Linked DNA regions of Mytilus edulis. Each later gene encodes a partner of the first gene's protein in a complex. Links are inferred from orthologs where the notes say so. Each region holds a gene or a part of one and is shown on either strand. Other genes may lie near its edges.

Evidence for each region.
Region 2: ragulator complex protein LAMTOR4-like (region 1) and ragulator complex protein LAMTOR2-like share a complex: the UniProt entries of both Drosophila melanogaster proteins name them as parts of the ragulator complex. The link is inferred for Mytilus edulis from reciprocal best matches to the Drosophila melanogaster genes Lamtor4 and Lamtor2.

What each region holds. Positions count from the first base shown.
Region 1 is NC_092346.1:47,802,192-47,814,160, reverse strand, and holds ragulator complex protein LAMTOR4-like, read right to left. Parts: upstream 4,970-11,969; 5' UTR 4,839-4,969; intron 2,711-4,838; 5' UTR 2,696-2,710; coding exon 2,615-2,695; intron 1,580-2,614; coding exon 1,462-1,579; intron 681-1,461; coding exon 583-680; 3' UTR 472-582; downstream 1-471. Other genes in the region: UV radiation resistance-associated protein-like, read left to right, coding at 5,274-5,327, 7,755-7,875, 9,078-9,112, 11,919-11,969. UniProt on the Drosophila melanogaster protein: Regulator of the TOR pathway, a signaling cascade that promotes cell growth in response to growth factors, energy levels, and amino acids. As part of the Ragulator complex, may activate the TOR signaling cascade in response to amino acids.
Region 2 is NC_092352.1:35,102,312-35,113,944, reverse strand, and holds the start of ragulator complex protein LAMTOR2-like, read left to right. Parts: upstream 1-6,263; 5' UTR 6,264-6,322; coding exon 6,323-6,390; intron 6,391-10,690; coding exon 10,691-10,853; intron 10,854-11,633. Other genes in the region: protein ecdysoneless homolog, read right to left, coding at 131-309, 1,862-1,949, 2,772-2,889, 5,927-6,128. UniProt on the Drosophila melanogaster protein: Regulator of the TOR pathway, a signaling cascade that promotes cell growth in response to growth factors, energy levels, and amino acids. As part of the Ragulator complex, may activate the TOR signaling cascade in response to amino acids.

The DNA.
Region 1 (11,969 bases):
AACACAATACTAAACAGAAATTGGTACTGAATCTAGGATCTGGAACAAAATCAGATAGTTCAGAATGGCACGGGGGATGGGGGTGGTCTTAACATGGGTTTTTGGGTACAGATGTGCAGCTGGGATTTCAAAAATACCCTTCATTCATAAATGGTAGTCTTGTGAAATCCTGACCCATAAACATATTTCATAGCAAAATCATAACCCATACATATATTCCTCAGTTATCACATATTAATTTTTTTACAGCTTGACTTGATTTTAAACAATAAAACAGCATTTACACAACAATCAAAAGATGAAAGTTATTGACCCTTTACCTTGGTGAAATCCGAACCCATTGATATATTTGATGTGTCAAAAAAGTGACCCCTGAAAAAAGGTTAATAGTTTAGCTCCAAGTCATATTGGTCCTGTTAATCCTGCTCAGATTTTTTTATGAAAAAGATAAGGTATCAAAATAATCAACCATTAGTGGAAAACATGTTGTCTTTATTTTTGTAAATACGTAACATTGAGAAAATGATTATGATACCGGTATTACAAGTTATGAGATAAAGATAATATAAAGTATATAATCAATCATGCTACTGCTGGCTCCTGTGGTGAATACTGTCTTTTACTAACATATATCTTCTGATTGGAAACTGTTATAACATACATATAACTTTCCCAAACAACTGTAAGAAAAAATACATTTTTTACTAAATTAATTTTAAAGCAAACATAAATAAGCATTTTAGTCAATGCATAATTTTGATAGTCTTTTAAATTTCAGCTTGACATATTTTGTAAACACTGTAAAATGAAAATAAAACTTTATAAATTTATAAGCTGATCTCTAGAATGTTGTTGAACTTTACCCCATATTTCATTATATTCCTATAGCAAAACATTTCATAAAACATATGACAATAAACAGCTGCACCTAACACAAATGCTTCAACATTATTGTGAAGATTGAAATTGGATATTAAGAAGGCATATAATCAGAAGCAAACATAATGGCTATGAAGAATTCATCAGAATACCCTTAGATGTACAAATATTGTATTAAATGACATCCAAGTTTTGTAACTCTTGAATAACAAACCAGAAAATCTTTTTAATATCAAAAGGGAGTCTACTTTCAGAAAGAGTTGAGTATGCTAAAATTTGAGCCAAGCATACAAGAGATAGTGCATAGCATTTGAAAAAAAATGCTTTTAATTCATTTGACAGTCAAAATTCCCAAACTCGGAAATGACATATCAGACAAAAAAATAATTGAACATAAGTGTTATATTCAACAATTTAAACAATTCCAGAAAATGTGAAAAGCTTGCAGATGATGGATAACAAACAACAAGTGTTGGCAGTATTTCATAGCACTGGCACTTTATGCCTTTACAACCTACATAATACAGTAAATACATTACTGAGTGTTTGATAAATCTAAACTAGCTTTTAAGCAGTATATACCTGAAATTCTTTTAAAAGTATCTCTCTTGTCTGAAGTAACTTGAATTCTGTTTGCTGTATGAACTAGCTTCAGAACTTTTTCAGCTATAGATTCTGCATTTTGTAAGTCTCCTCCTGACTAAAATTGATAATATAATATACCTTTGAAATGTTGAAATGATTGATTGATAGTTATACATCCACATGCAAATATTTCAAGCATATTCAACTGTCACCACCATCCCCCCCCCCACTCTTCCGTTTCCCCAATTTCATAATAGCAGGTGCACATCACTTCAATATATCTTAATCTTTGATAAAGGAGTAGGTTCGGTAAGGGCCATATTTGGCCATGATTATAAAGTTCAATGTTACAAGACAAAAACTGTTTTAAGTTGGCTTTAAGACATATATGAGAAAGTTAAATGGTGCTATTTTTGTCAAAGTTTAATTCTAAAACGTTGATTTTAATATCTCAAAAAGGTCAAGATAAGAGATTTTCGAGAAATTTGACAATATCGTCTGGATTTCAACCAAATATAGGACCAGGAAACATAGAGTGCATACGTGGACACACTTGATAAGTTGATATTAAAATGAGAAATGTGAAATGTCTGCACAAACATTATTTTAAAAGATCTATGGACTTGACCACCAAAACTTAACCTTGTTCACTGATCCATGAAATGAGGTTGAGGTCAAGTGAAAACTGTCTGACGTGCATGAGGACCTTGCGAGGTACGCACATACTAAATATAGTTATTCTTTTACTTATAATAAGAGAGAATTTAACTTTACAAAATATCTAAACTTTTTTTCAAGTAGTCACTGAACCATTAAAATGAGGTCATGGACAGTGGACATGTGACTGACGGAAACTTTGCAACATGAGGCATCCATATACCAAGTATGAAGCATCCAGATCTTCCACCTACTAAAATATAAAGCTTTTAGCCGCCGCCGCTGGATCACTATCCCTATGTTGAGTTTTCTGCAACAAAAGTTGCAGGATGGACAAAAATGAGGGAAGATTAAAACTTGTACTGTTAAAATTGTTTTCCTAACGAATATGCAATGTATTTTTTTATTCTTTTCTTTAATTAGTAGTTAGAATTTTTTCCAACAAAAGCAAAACAAATATATATGCATGTACCAATACTACAAAAAAACTCACACTTAGAACAGCCCCATCATCAGTTAGCACCAGGTAACCATGAGAGTCATGAATCTTGTCTATTCCTTGTGCAGTGGTCATTTTCTATTTTCTGATCTGAAATAATATGATGTACATGTTTTAATTGTCACTAAACTAGTGGTCATTATACAAAGAGATACTATTCAAGGACTCTGTTTTGTGTGCTACTTCTTACCAAGTTGTAGAAAAATATCAGTTATCAATTTATATTATTGCTAAGACTGTGTCCTTAATTAAGCATGAATAGTATTAGTTTATTATCCTTACTTACTAATATCACTAATTAGATTGGATTACAATTTTTGGTTCATTTATATGTTTTGTAAGTTTATGCCAAATTAAAAAAATAGCCTATGTACCCGTTTTTTTGTGTATTTTTTTCCAATATGCACTGTTAAAGCAGAATGTTCCTCCCATAGACTCTATGTGAGAAAAAAAAATGGTAAAATAAAAATAAGTCCCTACCTACATTTACCTACCCTACTTTTTTCAAAGATGATCATGTAATATAGGAAACACATATATTGTTCTTTTGGCCTTAGTGTGGTTTTCATTTGTGTTGAACTAGTATATATCATTGTTTAGGGGCCAGCTATGGCTTTCTACAGGTACTGCATTTTGTTTTGCTGCATTACATCTAGCTATTTATAGTGGCCTTGGGCTGTTTCAGCTTTTTGATTGTGTTGATGTCTATCTATTGCATACACCGTTTCCATTCTCAGTTCAATTTAATGTAACAATGGGACGTAGAAATATCAGAGTGACCACTAATCTGTAATGGAGATTTTCTGATTTCGCCATCCTTGCTTCAAACACAGAATTCCAAAATGGATTAAGTGTATTAGATATCATTTGCTTAGTTTGAAGAAGACATTCATCAGTGGTCCATTTTTGTATATATGTTTTTTTTCCTGGGTACCGACTACTGACTAGAGCTTTCCAAGACTTCAGAATTATTTTGTCATAAAAATTCTACTCTTAGATTTTCTAAATGAGACTTTTTATGTTGAAAACTGCATTAATTACTGCCAATACCATGAATACTGGTGAAGCGAATTATTAATATCTGTGCACCTATGACTTACGTATGACTTCACATTACTATGTAACCTGTGTAATTGGGGATACAGAAAAATAATGTTGGATTAAGCAGTGTGTCGGAATACTCAGGTTTTTTTCTGAAGGATAGGCTTACTTTGGGACCCTGAAAATGTGACGGTCCAAAATTAGTAAAAACTCTGTTATGAGAGTTCCACAAATGGCTGGTGAGTTACTGCATATTTATTTTAATAAAGGCATGATTTATATGACGAAATACAATCAAGTTTGAACCAGATTGTCAATGCTGCAGAGCAAAATTTGTTTTGACAGATCTAATCTAAATTTGATTTAAACAAAAACAACTTTTATTTGATGATGTAATTTTTTTTATGGGAAATTGGCTAAATATGGTTATAATTGTAGCTATAGGATTCCAGTAATAAATTTACTCATGAACTTATTACATGTATTGATTTTAATATTTTCTGTCCCTTTGGAAGACTAAAACAATAACAAGACCTATTCTATGTCTAATACATTGCAGATATGAGATAATCAAGTTTGGGCGATATCACCAGCCACGCAGACACTGGAGACGCCACTGTATTTGTATAAATGCACGGATTTATTAATCAATACTCCTTATCACAATTCTTGGCTGACACGGCTGCTTGAACTTTTGATGTCATACAACAATCACTTTTCTATTAATTTTGTGGTGTCAGATATTTTGTTTTATGACAACAAAATTTTACAGGAACCTAAGTAAGTAAGTAAGTAAATTTTATTTAGAGTCGGCATATATATACATAATAACAGAGAAAACATGAGCTCTGGTGAGCTCTTGAACCTGTGTGATATCCAGTAATTATAATGGCCACAGGCCCTTGTTTCTATCCATTGGAAGACCCACTATCAACGTATATTTATGTAAATATATTTTGATAGTGGGTCTTCCAATGGATATAAACAAGTGCCTGTGATATGACTATGGCAGTATGGGGGTTCATTACACTGTAATACAATTGAACAAATTTGTACTACAATTAAAATTTATATATTATTTATTTATTGTCAATTGAGTTTATCTTTAAAGTTTTACAATAGTCAACTGATTGCTGAATAAAAGATATATGACTGTTTCTCATAACAATATATTTACTTTTATAAAAAGATGATGTTATAGTTCATTGTTGTTTCAAACAATATAACTTTTATCAACTTAGGGCACCTGTTTGCTGTCTGCTTATTAAACTTCCGGTAGATAATTTATTCGATCACATGATCTGTAGTCTCGTCTTCGGAATCGAAAAATCTTCAACTATTTGTATATTTGATTGTTTTGATTTCGTTACCAGTGTAGTAAGACATCAAGGGATGATTTTAAATGATTGTTTAGCCCTAAATATGTGCAAGCAATCTTCAATTTAGCGAAATCAATCGGAGAACATTGGGTCACATGATCAAAATCGAGATGTTTAAAATGGTGGACGGAGTAAATTTCCGAAAGCGAAAACTCCCCTAGACTGACAAATACGTCTCTAAAAGCATAAACACAAGCGAGTCCTTATCAATAATGTAGTTATCATATTGTAACATGGAAAACTCTTCTAAAGTAGCCAGAAACTACTTCGAATTATCGTCATACCAGGTAATTTATTTGAAAAACAGGCTCTGGCTGCAAATTAAGGTTCATCATAAGGAATTGAAAAATATGGCCGTGTTTACACCTCCAAAATTACTATGAGTACAGACAAACTGGTACATCCAGGAAAATTTTAAGGCATGGCAGGAACTAGATATATAAAAGTTATATGAAGTCTACGTTTCAGAAAATTATAAACTTACCTGGATTTTGATGTTCATTTTTTTCCAGTCTGCAGAAGATAGCAAAATAAACAAACACCCGAGTTTCGTTTGATACGGTCCACTCAGTTACACAGTTTAAACCTGTTAAATCACCTATTGTTTACAGGTGTCTATTGTCCATCTATTGTCCATTTAAATCAATACTACTCACAACATTGATTATATGAGGGGAGCTTCTCAATCGTTTTCACTACTTAGTTAATTTTTGCACCTTCTGCAGGAACGAAAAAAAATGGATAGCAAAATCTAGAAAAGTTTATAATTTTCTGAAACATAAAATGCATTTAAAATTTATATATCTAGTTCCTGCCATCCCTTAAAACTGTTGCAGGTGTATAGGTTAGTCTGTACTCAGAGTAAAATTTGGGGTATAAATACGGCCATTTTAGCCAAAAGGTTATGATGAACCTTAACTAAATAATGAAACAATATTCAAATAATTACCGACACCGACGATACAAACATTTTGGTTTCCAATTTCTTATGCGACTTTTCATACGAATAATCTGACATGGCTCATGTGAATGTGCATCTGGTTGTGCAAAGTGTGTACATAATAATTTAGCTAAAAGTAAATGAAGTATATAGTCCAAATAAATTATTATGACATCTTGAAAGGCTATTATATGTTTTCTTTGCTCCTAACATTGACAGGAAGGTGTCAAAGTAAAAAATTTGAAATAGCTTTCCAAGACATCATAAATATTTGGACTCTTCCCAAAAATATTTCTTTCAGCTATTCTTCATTCCATTTTATTCCGATATAAATCTAGCTTCGGAACCGTAGCTCTGAGGTCCTTCTGATTTGATTTATTTAAAATATATATTTAACATACATGTAGGTGCAAATTGTCAAAAAAATATCATAAGGATCTAAGAGACTAAGATCCATGGTCCTGCAGCTATACATGTATCTAGTCGAAATAATTATGACGTTGTATGATGTCTTGAAAGGCTATTATATTTTCTTCTGTGACGCCTTACGTCACAGGAAGGCGTCAAAGCAAAAATTCAAAATAGCCTTTCAAGACGTCAATGTCTCATAATTATTTGGGCTACAGCTATACCATGACGTCTACAAAGTACTGAGGGTAACATTTTATTTAAAAAAATAACATTAAGGTTTATGTACCCTTCTGTAGCCATTTTTGTACGAATTTTTCAAACCTCAATTGTATCAAAACTAAAGATATAATAAATAATAGAGATAGGCCATTTAGTACATGTTCCAAGGGGAAACTTGATGTAAAGCATTATTGTTTACTGTTTCATTGCATTTGATAGAAAAAGAGGACTTTGTGGCAAATAAATCAAGATTTTTATAGAAAATCCACAGCCTTTAATACAGAGATTTTTGTTATAAAATTTGAAACATAAATTACTCACTTGATTTTCTATGATGTGCTAGTGTTTATTTTTTACAAAAAGTTCTAAGTAACCTGTAAATTCCAAAACACCTCGTGCTAAGTCACTAAAGTCGAGCGCACCCTAAAAGGTGTACTTGATTTTGGCCATATTTATACTTGTCTTAACCAATAACTACATTTATAAACTTGTTTTAAGGAAATCAATGCTAGCACTGCATGCAATAATCCTATATCTATCAGTCATCAAATTGCCAAATATGAGAGTACAAGGACATGAAGGATAAAGGCTGTGGATTTTCTATAAAAATCTTGATTTATTTGCCACAAAGTCCTCTTTTTCTATTAAATGCAATGGAACAGTAAAAAATAATGCTTTGCATCAAGTTTCCCCTTGGAATATGTACAAAATGACCTATCTCTATTATTCATTATATCTGTAGTTTTGATACAATTGAAGTTTGAAAAGTTCGTACAAAAATGGCTACAGAAGGGTACATAAACCTTAAGAAAAATTATACAAGTAAATCAATTACAGAATAAAAATAAGAATGAATGTTTCAGTATGAATAGGGTACAGTTGACATTTATCTATGACATCACAAGTAAAATAAAGCTTGAAATCCATAACTTCATATTTATAACAAGGTTGGAAAAAATAGTCAATACTAGTAGTGAATAGGCCTTAGTTCAGTAAATAAAAGGAAATACTGGTCTATTAAAAATTTGGACAAGACATTGCAATAAAAACTGGTCTTTGCTGGTCAACAAAGGACAGATAGTCAGTGGCTGGAAAGACATGACAGAAAGCTATATGTTGTTAATTTCAATATTGTTATTTTCAGAGAAGACTAAGACATTTAAGATGTCTAGCTTTAAGAAATTTATGTTGGCCAGGACACAAAGGAAAAGACTTGACCAATCTACAGTCCTACTTCACTCTACATATAGACAGAAATGTTCCAGGTACAGTGTTATACCATGGTCTTGAATTAATATAACTTATTGTAACATAAAAGGTTTGGATGGGGAAGTCTTCATTCATGCATTCTTTGAATGTTTCGGCCATTTTTCTCTATTCACTATATTTTTGTCATATTTTTCTCTTTTTTTTAGGACCAGTTTTCTGTAGTTATTACTCATTATTTTAGATTGAGGGGTCACGGTGGTAGATAGGGTTCTGATCCTGAAATCCCAGGCTTAAAAACACGAAATAATGAGGTCACAAATTTTGATAAATTTAAATCCCTACATCCTGAAATTCGAAAAAAAGAATTCCTGAATCCTTAAAGGGTCAATCCCGAAATCCTGAGCTTAAAAACACCTGATCCCGGAGTCCTGATAAAGGTCCTATCCCCACCTTAGCACCTAGATGCTGTAAACCCTATCCAGCCCTCCTAGAGTTTGTGGAATTAACTTGATTAACTACTTATTTTAGTTTCCAACTGAAACAAAAAATGATATAAAACAAAACAATATGTGGGGTATAAATCAAGCAATAGCAATGCAATGACTGAACAGAAGGAGTGAAATCAAGAAAAATAACATGCTTAAGCCTTAAGTAAGAGATTGACTTTCATTATAAAAAAGATAAACAAAAGATATATGAGGTAATAATCCATGACCTAAAAAGCAGTACATGCTTATTATTAATTAGTCTAAAAAAACACAAAAAGCAAAGAAACAGGCTTTTATTGATGTTCTTCATCTTTAAGTCTATGTGAGGCCTTTAACATGAAGCAAAAAAACAACTCACTGCACAGCAAGTAATAGACGGTCCCTAGCACTGGTTTGAGAGAAATTCTTTGCAAAAGATTTCTGTAGACTTCTGCTCTTTGTTTGAGTCAGTCTTTTTGACACATTCCCTGTTTCCATTCTAAATTTTATTGCAACATGTAGCACACTTTCCCATTATTTTGATGTATTCATACAGTGAGTATGCATCTAATTTTGCTAATGGATGAAATGAGACTGTTGTGTTAAATATCAGCCACATTGTGATACCTTTGTGGGGTTTCTTTTCAATTATATTAGAAAGTATTTTGTTATCTGCTATAAACATGATAAAAGTACAAGGCTGACAATAGTTGATTTCAGTTATTTAAAATAACTGAAATCTACTTATTTTTCATAGTACATGTAATTGCATCATAAAATTTTCTTTTTAGCATTTTATACAAGTGAAAAGATACAGGGATCTCTGGTGAGTAACTCGGCAAAATGTTTGTAAGATTATAGCTTATCATTATCAAGAAAACTTGCTGTTGATTTGAAAAAGTACATTGAATTATTATTCATATTATAAGAACAAATGTATATGACAAAATATGTAGTAATTGCTATAACCTGCAAATTAATCCTTCTTAGAGTTGTTGCCCCTAAATGATGATTTCCAATGTATTTTTTGCTAATATTCTTAAGTTATAATAGGTATTAAAGAGAAACAATCCTAATATAAAAGGAATAAAACTTCCTACTAGAACTGGGGACTTTATTGAAACAAAGCTAAATATGTTTGCTGACGATACTCAACTCTTTAATAAAAGCGAGGAGTCTATCGAAGAAACATTTAAAACTTTAAAACTGTACGAAAATGCTTCGGGGGCTAAAATGAATATGGATAAGACTGTTGGCATGTATTTAGGCAAGTGGCGAAATAAAAAACCAAAATTTAACAAAATTAAATGGTCTAAGCGTCCTGTGAAAGCATTAGGGGTACAATGTACTACATGGATACGGGGTGGACTTAGATCAAATTTGGTTAGAAAAAATAAATTAAATAAAATGCTGTATGGAAGTTTGGAAATCACGAGATCTCACATTTACGGGAAAAGTCTTAATTATTAAATCCTTTGTACTGTCCGTCATTGGATACGAAATTGAAATGAGAGGTATCCGGGATATATACGAAAAACAAATAAATAATATTATATGGTCCTTTATATGGGATGGGAAAACAAACCAAGTCGCTAGAACAGTGTGCTGTTTACCGAAAGAAAAAGGGGGGGATAGGAATGATAAACTTGAGGGACTTTATTAAATCAAAACAAGTGAAAAGTATGTACAGTATTGTCAACTCAAAAACACAAAAATGGAATGCAATAGGAAAATACTGGTTAACGTCACAAGACGAAAAATATGATACAGACTTTTTTATATGTTCTTGTTCGGACACTACATGTTTTAAGCAAATACAAATGTCCAAATATTATAAAGAACTTTTAATTTCCTGGACTGACTTACAGAAAATCCAAAAATCGGTCACGAAAGAGGACCTTTTAGAAGAAAATATTTTCGGCAATTGTAAATTGAAGTTCAAGGGACATGCATTATATTATGCAAATTTTGCCTCCAGTGGAATAAAAAAAATTAAAGATATATGGGACTTAAACAATAAATCCTTTAAAACATCCCTTGATATTTTTAACAGTCTTAAAGATAAAAGGAATTGGATTGCACAATATAGCCGCATTAAATCTTCGTTAACACCTCAACAAATTGACGTTTTAAAAACAGACTCTAGTATACATAGTCATTCTGATGGACCTATAAAAATAATAAATTCTTGTCAATTTATAAAAAATGGAGTTGTCGTTGATGCAAAAAAATTATGCCTTAAAGATATTAGATACTTTTATAAGAATAAAACAGCTCCAAATAGTCAGTTGAAGTGGAATTTACATTTTGGGAATGAACTACCATGGGATTACATTTGGGAAACTTTGAATAAGAATTTAGCTAACAGGAAAATTAAACAATTTCAATGGAAGTTACTACATAATATAATTTACACTGAAGAAAAGTTACAAAAAATGAATCGCTCAAACGGGAAGTGTCACTTTTGCAATGAAAAAGAATCACTATTTCATCTTTTTATTTATTGTAAACTGGTGGAAGACGTTTGGCGGGAAATTTTTGAGAAAATAAGGGAATTTTGTTCAAAATTAAATATCCAAAAATTACAAAAATCGGAAACAAGTATAATTTTTGGGGTCATTAATGCAGATGCATCTTATACCCAAATTTTAGATATGGTGCTTTTAATTACGAAATGGGTTATCTGGAAAACTAGAAATATCGCAAAATATCAAAAGAAAGGGATAAGTGAATTGGTGATTTTAAATATGATAAAACATGAAATGCAATTTCTGCTCAAATATTTTAAACCGAATACGAAAATCGAAGCCTTTTCTACTATGTGTGACATTTTTTAAATATAAATATATATTTTGCATGGTCAGGTCAGTTCAATGACCTCTTTGATACTGATTGAATAATAGTATGTACACTGCTCGCAACTCCCTACATGTAATTTCTGTTGTGTATATATTCATGTATATCATCTAATTGTAATAAGACATGTTGTATCAACAGGTTCATATTATAAACAAATATTTACTCACCATATCTTTGATATTAATCCTTATTGGGAATCAAATCATTAATCCATTTTTTTTATGAATGAACTACACATCCCTTTAACAAATCGCACGTGGTAAATGATCACTCGACCAGAAATTTAATGTAATTGAAATTAACATAACAAAAGACTTGATGTACGATAAAATTGAAACTGCTTAATAAATACAGGTAGCCTTTGTGAGAAATAAATGAAGATAAAAAACAAACTTTATTCAAATAATTATATATGGTGAGATGTATAGATATATAGATCGATATTGATTGCAGGTACATATACATTTGTACAAGGATAGATAATATTTATAAAGGTTGATGTTAATAATTTATAGTGGGAGTTTTTTTCTCATTTGCTTTTCCCCGACAAATGAGACTGTAAAAATTGGGGCCCCCTTAGTTGCTTCCCTGGGCAACTGAGGGTTGATGTAACAGGTGATTGTTAATAAAATATGTTTAATATTAAAAAAAAAAAAAAAAAAAAAGAGAAACAGATACTCTTATTTAATTTTTTTTTCATTTGTAAGGTTCATTATTTGGATTTTCTAAAGTATATTATATTTAATAAATATATTTTATAATTATAATTGTAGAATCCAACATGGCAGAGTTTTGACATCAGTAGATATGAAGACAATATTAGT
Region 2 (11,633 bases), on another chromosome or scaffold:
CAAACCTTTGTCTGACAGCATTATTTATCTCAGTGTTAGCAAGGGTAGCAGTGTAATAGTTTCTGACACATTTCACTTGGGAGTGTGTTTTATCTGTGCAGGGATATGGGAATGGACAGTTAAAACTTACCCATCAAACCTTTGTTTGACAGCATTATTTATCTCTGTGCTAGCCAGTGTGGCAGTGTTATAGTTTCTGACACATTTCACTGCGTATTGTATTTCAGGAACACCACTAGGCAAGGTGGTTATCTGTGCAGGGGATTGTGGAAATGGAATAATGTGCAGGTTTCCTTGAAAAATATAAACCTGAAAAAATAAACAATTCCTTAAATTTAGCATTTTATACATGTATGCTGGTAAAGAAAGTACATTGTATATAAACATGATAAATAATAATGTATGCATACATCATGTACATATTCATGAACCTACAAATTTATGCACTGCAAATCAGTTAATTGTTACCTGGTTTTCTTTTTTTATTACTTCATTTTAAAGGGTGATCAGCTGATTAAGCTGCATTAGATCAAACCAAGAATAATATTTAGGACACTAAAAACATTTTCTGTAACTCATCTACATTTCTTTTTAATTAATAACATTAATACTTCCTTTGCCCTATTTCAAAGATATAACCAAATAAAATGTTATTGTAAAAGTTTCACCAATCCCTCTTTTTGAACAGTTCTATGTTTGTTTTAACCATCTTTGGAATTTTGTCAAAGGGAAATTGGTCTATACATATCGAAAATATAATGAAGATGGAATGCTATGTGAGGAAGAAGGGGCGATTTACACAGCTCTCTGAAACAGACAAATGGAGATGGAATGCTATGTGAGGAAGAAGGGGCGATTTACACAGCTCTCTGAAACAGACAAATGGAGATGGAATGCTATGTGAGGAAGAAGGGCGATTTACACAGCTCTCTGAAACAGACAAATGGCGATGGAATGCTATGTGAGGAAGAAGGGGTGATTTACACAGCTCTCTGAAACAGACAAATGGAGATGGAATGCTACGTGAGGAAGAAGGGGCGATTTACACAGCTCTTTGAAACAGACAAATGGAGATGGAATGCTATGTGAGGAAGAAGGGGCGATTTACACAGCTCTCTGAAACAGATAAATGAAGATGGAATGCTATGTGAGGAAGAAGGGGTGATTTACACAGCTCTCTGAAACAGACAAATGGAGATGGAATGCTATGTGAGGAAGAAGGGGCGATTTACACAGCTCTCTGAAACAGACAAATGGAGATGGAATGCTATGTGAGGAAGAAGGGGCGATTTACACAGCTCTCTGAAACAGACAAATGGAGATGGAATGCTATGTGAGGAAGAAGGGGTGATTTACACAGCTCTCTGAAACAGACAAAAGGAGATGGAATGCTATGTGAGGAAGAAGGGGCGATTTACACAGCTCTCTGGAACAGACAAATGGAGATGGAATGCTATGTGACGAAGAAGGGGCGATTTACACAGCTCTCTGAAACAGACAAATAGAAGTGAGAAACAAATCACCCTGTTACAATATTTAGTAGGTGAACCAATAATTAGTTATTTTTCTCAAAATCTTCATAACAAGTAAAACCTATTGTTGTTGATCTTTTTTATCATGTTAGCTGTGTTTGAATCTCTACTACAAGCAGCAGATAATCCTATAAAATTGAGAATGGAAATGGGGAATGTGTCAAATAGACAACAACCCAACCAAAAAGCAGATAACAGTCGAAGGCCACCATGGGTCTTCAACATATGTGTTCAATGCAGTAAGAAAATCTCGCACCCAAAGGCTTGTCTCAGCTGGTCCCTAAACAAAAATGTATACAAAAATATGCTATAAATAATGAAATAAATACTCTATTTTCAGCAGTATCAGGTTCCAGCCATTTAGGAAGATTATCAGCAGCCTCTATCAGCATAAACTCTTCATCACTATCCTTAATTCTGAATTAGAAAACATGATACTGAGTAACATCTTGTTATTCATATGACAGTCACATACTGATAAAAGATGTCACCAAATACCGGTAAAAGTTCATTCAAAATATAAACAATGATAAAGTTCAAATGGAAAACATATTCAGGAATATTATTTAATTTCCACTGAACAAATAATACACAACAGTGTTTGTTCCTAATGAAATAAATGGTAAAGAATATTTGTTCCTGCTGGAACAAATATTACAGCATTGTTTATAACAAAGTTTTAAGAGGAATTTCTATAAGACGTAACAAAATAGTATTTCCAATACTAAAGGGAAATCAACTGAACATGTTTATCATTTTTACTTTTAGCTACTACATAATAGTTGTTTAAAATAGAAATATGTGATGTACTACAAAAATATAATTACTGTGAGAGAAAATTTCACATGTTTTACACTCATCTCTAGAAAATCAAGAATCTCCAAAAGAAACATCCTCATATGAATAATCAATATATATATATACTATAATTCACTTTTAATATATAGCAACAGAAAAACTACAAGTCTTCAAAAGTGAACATTAATCACTGATCATGAGTCATGAATATGAGGTCAAGGACACTTGACAAATGTCTGACAGAGAGAAAAACATTTTATTTAACTAGAAGAAACCTACATGATGTAGGAAATTACAAATTCAATGCAAATATAAAAAAAAAAATATATTTTAGTTTAGGTTGTCAGTTTTTTTCTAAAAAAGTTTGAATATCATGAATATGTGCATAATGAATCTTTATAACTTTTGACTATCTTAAAAATACAAGTGAAGGTATCTTACTTTGCAACTAAGCAATCAAACTGTTTGGTTAATGTGAATAGTAGGTAAACAATAAGCCATTCATCCTCAACGTTATCACCATAACAGGTTTTTCCATACAGGTGAGGTGGTAAATTATCTAGAAATAATGATAAGATGTTACACATCTCCTGTTTAAATATGATTATAAATTTAAACTTCATTGTCTTGTAACAAAAATATCAACTCAAGCTTTTTAATTTTAGCAAATTCCTTTCTTTCTTTCTTCAACCATTTTGGGGATCTTTTTGTTGTCTTAGCTAGCTAAACAACAAAAGAGTTATTTACTATACATGTAGTCCTTGGTGTCCAGTGGCAAATATTACACATGTTTAATGCATGTTCAGGACAATATAACTCAGACATGCCTGTGTCTTAGTACAAGACTGAACAATAATGACAATGCTTCACATCTGATCTTGAGCAAATTTTAACCAGGTGCTCCGCAGGGCGCAGCTTTATACGACCGCAGAGGTCGAACCCTGAACAGTTGGGGCAAGTATGGACAAAACATTCAAGCGTGATACAGCTCTGAATTTGGATTGTGATCAAATTTTTGACATTACATGAGTTTTTTTTACACAAAACAAATGTCAAGATTTTACAAATCAATTAAAGATTTCTTCTTCAAACTTTTTAAATCTAAAATTAAATGGTTGACACAGCATAGGTTTCTGACACAGAATGAATGTGGTCTAATGAACTTAAAAGTTTTTTTTTGCCTTTTAGCAATTCACTATGCTGTTGAATATTAATCCTCTCAAAAAAATGTTTGAAGAAATTTTCTTTTTATTTATGAAATCTGAAATGAGAAAAATTTAACCCCCCCCCCCCTTTTTTTCACATCCCCGTTTCCCTTTTTCCAAAACTGATATCAATTCAAATTTCTAATGGAGTTTGCAATAATAACTACTCTTTTAAATACATCATAAAATATTAAAATGTAAAATAAAGTGCTTGTTATCACTGAATGGTAAAGATTGGTTGGTAGTAAAAGTGAATATACATTGTTTATTGTATAAAACAATAAAAAAAACTTCATCAGCAACATTTTATATTGGCAAATTTCCAATGAAGTTATTTACATAAAGTTATTGGCAAATTAAAATAGAAAATGACATCATAGTCATGTCTGACAAATGTCCAACATACATTATCTAAAAACATTTTAGATAAGATAAGGAAAAAAAGCTTCATCAGCAACATTTTATATTGGCAAATTTCCAATGAAGTTATTTACATAAAGTTATTGGCAAATAAAAATAGAAAATGACATCATAGTCATGTCTGGCAAATTTCCAACATATATTATCAACTACTATTCTATACAAAGAAAGATAACTCCAATTGAAAATTAATTGCTATTGCACAATATTGTGCAATTAGATATTTCTTGCTATTGTGCAATACTGTGCAATTGAAAATTTCTTGCTATTGCACAATACTTGATATGGAATCCTGATTTGGACCAACTTGAAAACTGGGCCCATAATCAAAAATCAAAGTACATATTTAGATAAAGCATATCAAATAAGCCCAAGAATTTAATTTTTGTTAAAATCAAACTTAGTTTAATTTTGGACCCTTTGGACCTTAATGTAGACCAATTTGAAAACTGGACCAAAAATTAAGAATCTACATACACAGTTAGATTTGGCATATCAAAGAACCCATTTATTCAATTTTTGATGAAATCAAACAAAGTTTAATTTTGGACCCCCATTTGGACCAACTTGAAAACTAGGCCAATAATTAAAAATCTAAGTACATTTTTAAATTCAGCATATCAAAGAACCCCAAGGATTCAATTTTTGTTAAAATCAAACTAAGTTTAATTTTGGACCCTTTGGACCTTAATGTAGACCAATTTGAAAACGGGACCAAAAATTAAGAATCTACATACATAGTTAGATTCGGCATATCAAAGAACCCCAATTATTCAATTTTTGATGAAATCACACAAAGTTCAATTTTGGACCCTTTGGGCCCCTTATTCCTAAACTGTTAGGACCAAAACTCCCAAAATCAAACCCAACCTTCCTTTTATGGTCATAAACCTTGTGTTAAAATTTCATTGATTTCTATTTACTTATACTAAAGTTATTGTGCGAAAACCAAGAATAATGCTTATTTGGGCCCTATTTTGGCCCTTAATTCCTAAACTGTTGGAACCAAAACTCCCAAAATCAATCACAACCTTCCTTTTGTGGTCATAAAACTTGTGTCAAAATTTCATAGATTTCTATTCACTTAAACTAAAGTTATAGTGCGAAAACCAAGAAAATGCTTATTTGGGCCCTTTTTGGCCCCTAATTCCTAAAATGTTGGGACCAAAACTCCCAAAATCAATCCCAACCTTCCTTTTGTGGTCATAAACCTTGTGTTAAAATTTCATTGATTTCTATTCACTTTTACTAAAGTTAGAGTGCGAAAACTAAAAGTATTCGGACGACGACGACGACGACGACGACGACGACGACGACGACGACGACGACGACGACGACGACGACGCCAACGTGATAGCAATATACGACCAAAAAATTAAAATTTTTGCGGTCGTATAAAGAAGGGTTACAATTTATTATTGGCGATTCAAAGTCAGGCAGAAATGCAATCTAAAAGTAAACAAAGTAACCTTTTTCAGTCACAGCAGTCAAATTAAACTGCTCTTTTTGCCAAATGTGGTCGACAATTGTTGAACTAACAAAAGCAGGATAAGTGTCAATATATTCAAGTAAAATTTTCACTTTGTCTCTTGACATAAGCCAAGGATCCAAGGATGTGTCAACAAAGGGGAAAAGCCAATATTCAGAAGCATTGTCGGGTAGTCAATCTTTCTTTTCTACCATGCTTATTAAATGACTGGTTTGTAATAATTAACTACGATAACGATAGCTTATTTTCAATTGTACACATTTCTACAAAGAGTTGCATCGCCAGTGGCAAATATAATTACACATGTTTAACTGTTAATGCACATTCAGGACAATATAGCTCAGATATTCCTGTGTCTTAGTACTTGACTGAAAAATAATGAAAATGCCTCACATCTTGGGCAAATTTTATAGAAGGGTTACAATTTATTTTTGGTGATTCAAAGTCAGGCAGAAATGCAATCTAAAAGTAAACAAAGTAACCTTTTTCAGTCACAGCAGTCAAATTAAACTGCTCCTTTTGCCAAATGTGGTCGACAATTGTTGAACTAACAAACGCAAGATAAGTGTCAATATATTCAAGTAAAATTTTTCGCTTTGTCTCTTGACATAATGATGTGTCAACCAAGGGGAAAAGCCAATATTCAGAAGCATCGTCGGGTAGACGATCTTTCTTTTCTGCCATGCTAATTCAATGATGACTGGTTTGTAATAATTAACTACGATAGCTTATTTTCAATTGTACACATTTCTACAAAGGGTACCAGTCAAAATTTGCGGAAGTTCAGCACAGGTCGTAACCTCAATAAATTGGCCAATCATTTAGAATGTTACAAAGTGCTTTGGATCCGAATCATGTGATCTATTATTTTGTGAAAGATGTTGAAGCCAAAAGCATTAACTCAAGTTTTGAGTCAGGCAAATACTGGTGGTGTACAAAGCACACTGTAAGAATATTAACTAATATCAAAGTTTATGAATTTAATGATATACAAAGTATGCTAAAAATAAATGAAAACAAAATGAAATACTTTGGCATATCATTATCAGATCAAATCATTAACTGGGTAGAATCCTTTCTTTCAAACAGAACGCAAACAGTACTTTTAGAAAACATGTCATCTTCAAAAATACCAGTCTCATCAGGAGTCCCACAGGGTACAGTGCTAAGACCAATACTATTCTTAATTTACATAAATGACCTCCCAGATTACATCCAACATAGCAAAATCAGACTCTTTGCAGATGACAGTATAATCTACGGATCTCCTGTAGTTGGTGATCGCAATACTGGTATACCAGTATTGTCCACAATACTAAAAAATTTGTACCAGTATTGTAACTTTTTATAAAAAAAAACCAGCAATACTGGTACATTACTGATATACCAGTATTGTAGTTGTATTGTTGACTAGACTATATTGAAGATCAACGGGAGATTAAATGAACTCAAAAAGATTATAAAGGATAATTGTGAAATCAATTAACAACCAGTTAAAAGTCATTACTATACTTGCACAAATAAACAAAGGATTATTGAAATTAACTCATAACATCATTATTATTTAAACAATTGCTAATAATTTTATCATATTTCTATATTTTATTTAATTCAATAAAGATAAAATAAAATAAAAGCTTTTTATTATCTGAGTAATAATTTAATAAATTCAAGCAAATTATTAGACTCTAACACTGTAAATTCAGCATTTACATGTATGCCATCACACATTTTGACAGATATTTTAATACATGTATACATTTTTTGTGTACTAAGATCATATGCATTTGTTTGTCTTTATTTTCTTATTAATCTTTCACAACAAAAGATATCAATATTATTCATTAATTATAAAAAATTGCTTTATAGGGGAACCTTGTTATAATCAAATTAACTAGTTTGTCTACATGAATGTTAAGGGTTGAAGCAGTTGATTCAGAACCATGGACAATACAATTAGTAGCAGATACATGTATATCTACTGGTACAAATACTAATACTAGACCAGCATTCTGACAGTAAGAGAGCTGTTCAAATGCTATCTGAAATAGCTTGTAATCTAGTAAGCGTTAGAGAAAGTCCACAGAGACAGAATACCTAAATACCAATATAGGAAGGGGGAGGGGTTGCAGAAATCACATCTGAAGAAGAAATAGACAATACCAATGCTGATGATACAGAAGCTATAACAGCATTAATGTCAATATAAAATTCACTAAAATATACTACATGAATCTTGGAAAGAGAGAGCTGAAAGAAAACATAGAAGAAAGTATAGAGTTTGTTAAAATGCTGATACAGAATGGTTAAGAAAAAAACATCAGAAGATTTAAAACTTTATTTGATGACAATCACAGTGTACCATCTATGGCATCATCAGCTAAACACAATCATTCCTAATAAAATTGTCATGTCATATGTTAATTTCATTATGCATATATGTGACACCTTTAATAAAAGATTAATTACCTATATTGTTTATTTAAAAAAAAGCACAATACTGGTACAATACTGGAGGGCGCACTACGTTTGCGCGCATTTGGGGATTAAAATGTTTTACGTTTGCGCGCAGCTTTTGATTACATTTGCGCGCATTTATCTTACAGGTAAACCCAGGTAAAAAACGGTATATGATGAAATATGAATAATATAAAATTTCATTAACTTTGAAAAGATGTTTTAATCATAATTTATATTGTTCATATTGTATTCTAAGACAAAATATAAAGTGTGCATGATAAATTCTGTTATAACTTAAGGCATACATGTAACTTCATTGCGAATTTTTTCAGGGTGATCAAGTACCCCGAATAGTGATCTCTTTAAAATTCGTAAATAATCTATTGAAAGCTAGATTGTAAAGTTTTGTCAAGTAACGGACATTTGAAATTTTTTTTAATAGCAAATCGGGGGAGAAAATCATTAGTATGCTATGAGTATTAAAATTTCCGGATTGATAGAATATAATGCAACCGACTTATCCTGCTTGTATCCAACTTCTACCTCCTCGTGGGTGAGTATAGGTGACTTAGTCAAAAGGAAAGGGTACTTTTACTTAAAATAATTGAATAAATTCATAGATAAATAAGAGTTATTGCCTAAGCTTACCTGAGTTTACCTGTCAAATAAATGCGCGCAATTGTAATGAAAAGCTGCGCGCAAACGTAATGATTTTTACGCGCAAATGTAATGGTAATGCGCGCAAACGTAATGCACCGATACTGGAATACAATACTGGTACAAAATTTTTATACCAGTATTGCGATCACCAACTACAGGAGATCCGGAAAAAGATTGGCTTATGTCTTTCCATCCAGACAATTGTAACATCATGAATATAACAACAAAAAGAAATCCCATCCACTTTTATTATAACATGTATGGACACATCTTAGAATCTGTAAAACATGTAAAATACTTAGGTATCACCATCTCAGCAGACCTAAAATGGAACACCCACATCCAACAAACCGCTGCAAAAGCAAATAAATCCTTAGGTTTCATCAGAAGAAACCTTAAAGTCCAATCGCAAACAATTTAAGAAAGAGCGTACCAAACACTCATAAGACCAAAGTTGGAATACTGTTGTACTGTATGGGACACATTTACAAACGAAAATATAAAATCACTGGAAAAAGTACAAAGATGGGCAGCAAGGTACGTGTGCAATAGACATCACAACACCAGCAGTGTGTCTGAGATGCTAGACACCATGAAATGGCAAACCTTACAAGAACGCCAACTACGAACAAGGCTTATAATGTTCCACAAAATTGTAAATGAAAATATAGCCATTCCATCGCAAAATGTATTACAACAGAGTCAGTCTACTACAAGATCCACCAATAAAGAATCCTACAGACAAATTCATTGCAATTAAGACAGCTATAAATTTTCTTTTTTCTGTCAAACCATCAAAGACTGTCCACAAACTATCCTCTGAAATTACCAAAAACACTACTACAGAAAACTTTAAGGATGCACTCACACGTGCTCCTTGATACTTACCCTCATCTGAAATAAACAGATACTCTTGTTTTTATCTTATACCAAAAAATAAAAATAAAAAATGTAATATTTAAAAACTAAATAAAAAATTGTATAAATTAAAAACAAAGAAAAAATTGTAAAAATTGAAAATACAAAAATATATGACCAAAAACAACTTTGAACAAGAAATATTTTGTTAATTTATATTTTCACAAAAATTATTCACATAAATTTATTAAAAAACATATACCAGGCATGCACTGGAAAGTAAACATCAGTACATGGATGGTTTTCTGTAACAAAAGAAGAAGAAAAAAACCATTTAAACAGGTTAAAAAAAGAACATGCAAGCAGGCTAGATCATACATGCAAATTATTAGTCCGAGATTACTCAGATGTCCAACAGCTGTTTTGCAAGACAAGTCCCACGGCCCCAGCTTGTCTGGCAAAACAGCCGTTGGACGTCAGAGTAATCTCGGACTAACATGCAATGTATAAAATTAAAATTATTTGTTTGTTTATAAGAGCCTAAAGAGGGGGGTAAAGGGTGAATAAAAGTTAAAAGATTAGTGCAAGGTGAATGAAAGCTGTCAAATCTTTTGTTATTGATGTCAATATCATGGTTGTTGATCACCTCTTAAATCAGTTACAATATTATTATATTCACCATGAAACCAGAGTGATATAACAATAAAAACTATACTACAAGGAATCTCAAAGTTGGGTTATCATATATATATAATGAATTAGATTTATAATTTTTTTAAATCTTGGTAATTTGACTCACTTTACAGGATCAATTGACCTGGTGTCACATGGTATTTTGAACCTTCTGTAAAGTGAACTTGAGGTCTAAATACCTTAATATGGTAAATTGACGCAGGGGTCATAATACCGTATATACCAGTACAAATTTTCTAAAAAGTGTTTTAAGGTGTAATCAGATACAAAGTTGAAGGAAACCATATGCTCCTACATGTATATCATGTATTGTTTTATAAAAAGGGTCAATAAAAATGTCAAAACTGGAACAGGATTAGTATGTATGTATATATACATGATATAGGTGTTGCTCTCACCCAATTAGAACATTAAGGCTAAATAGAAAGTCCATGTCTTGATAGCTATTTATTTTGATATTACCCGGTAAAAGGACTGCATATTACATGCATATGCACTTTTATTTTGATGCTGATACTTGTAATTATATTCATTTTTTTTTAACAAGAGATTTTTTTTAATTGATCTATTTTTAGGTTGTTGAACAATGAAGGAGCCTTATTAGCCTATTCTGGTTATGGTGACAAAGATGCTGCTGTTTCAGCTGCTATAGCTGGTAACATTTGGACAGCCTATCAGAAGAGTGGGTCTGCAGCTTTTAATGATGATAAATTAAAATTAGTTCTGTTGGAATGTGAGGTAAGAAAAGGAAAAAGCATTCAATGATAAGAACTCAATACCAGCATTTACTTTTAAGGGTCCTGGGATGGATAAAAGGGGTTCCTGTCTTATTTTTGTAAATTCATAGGAAAATCTAAATCTTGTAACATCCTTGTGATCCCTTTTATGTCAAAATTGGTAGTTAATTTTAATTTTGGATAACAATACCAAATTTTAGGAACTATGTTTGTAACAGGATTTCAATGAAAATCAATATGTACATGCAGGTACAATTTGCTATTCCAAAATAATTTCCTGTGTCAAAAACATTTGGTTGCTTACCAGTTATGGAATGCCCTCCATTAATACATTTTGTTTGGATGTAAATGAAACTATATATTATCAACCAGGTGCTCTGCAGGGCGCAGCTTTATACGACCCCAGTGGTTGAACCCTGAATAGTTGGGGCAAATTTGGTCACAATATTCAAGCTTGATTCCGTCTGAATTTGGATTGTGATCAAATTTTTGACATAATATAGGTTTTTGTCACAAAATTAATGTGGTCAAAGATCTAACAAATCTATTGCACAATACTGTGCAATTGAAGATTTCTTCTTGAAACTTCTTTGAAAAAAAAGAAAGCCCTTCAAAAAATGGTAAACAAAAAATCCCCCCCCCCAACTTTTTGAACCCCCCTTAGAGCAATAACCCTTAAACTCAATCCCATGCTTTCCATTGCAGTATTGAACCTTGTAGTACAATTTCAGAGAGATCTATACACTTAAACACAAGTTATTGTCATGATTGTTTGGAAACT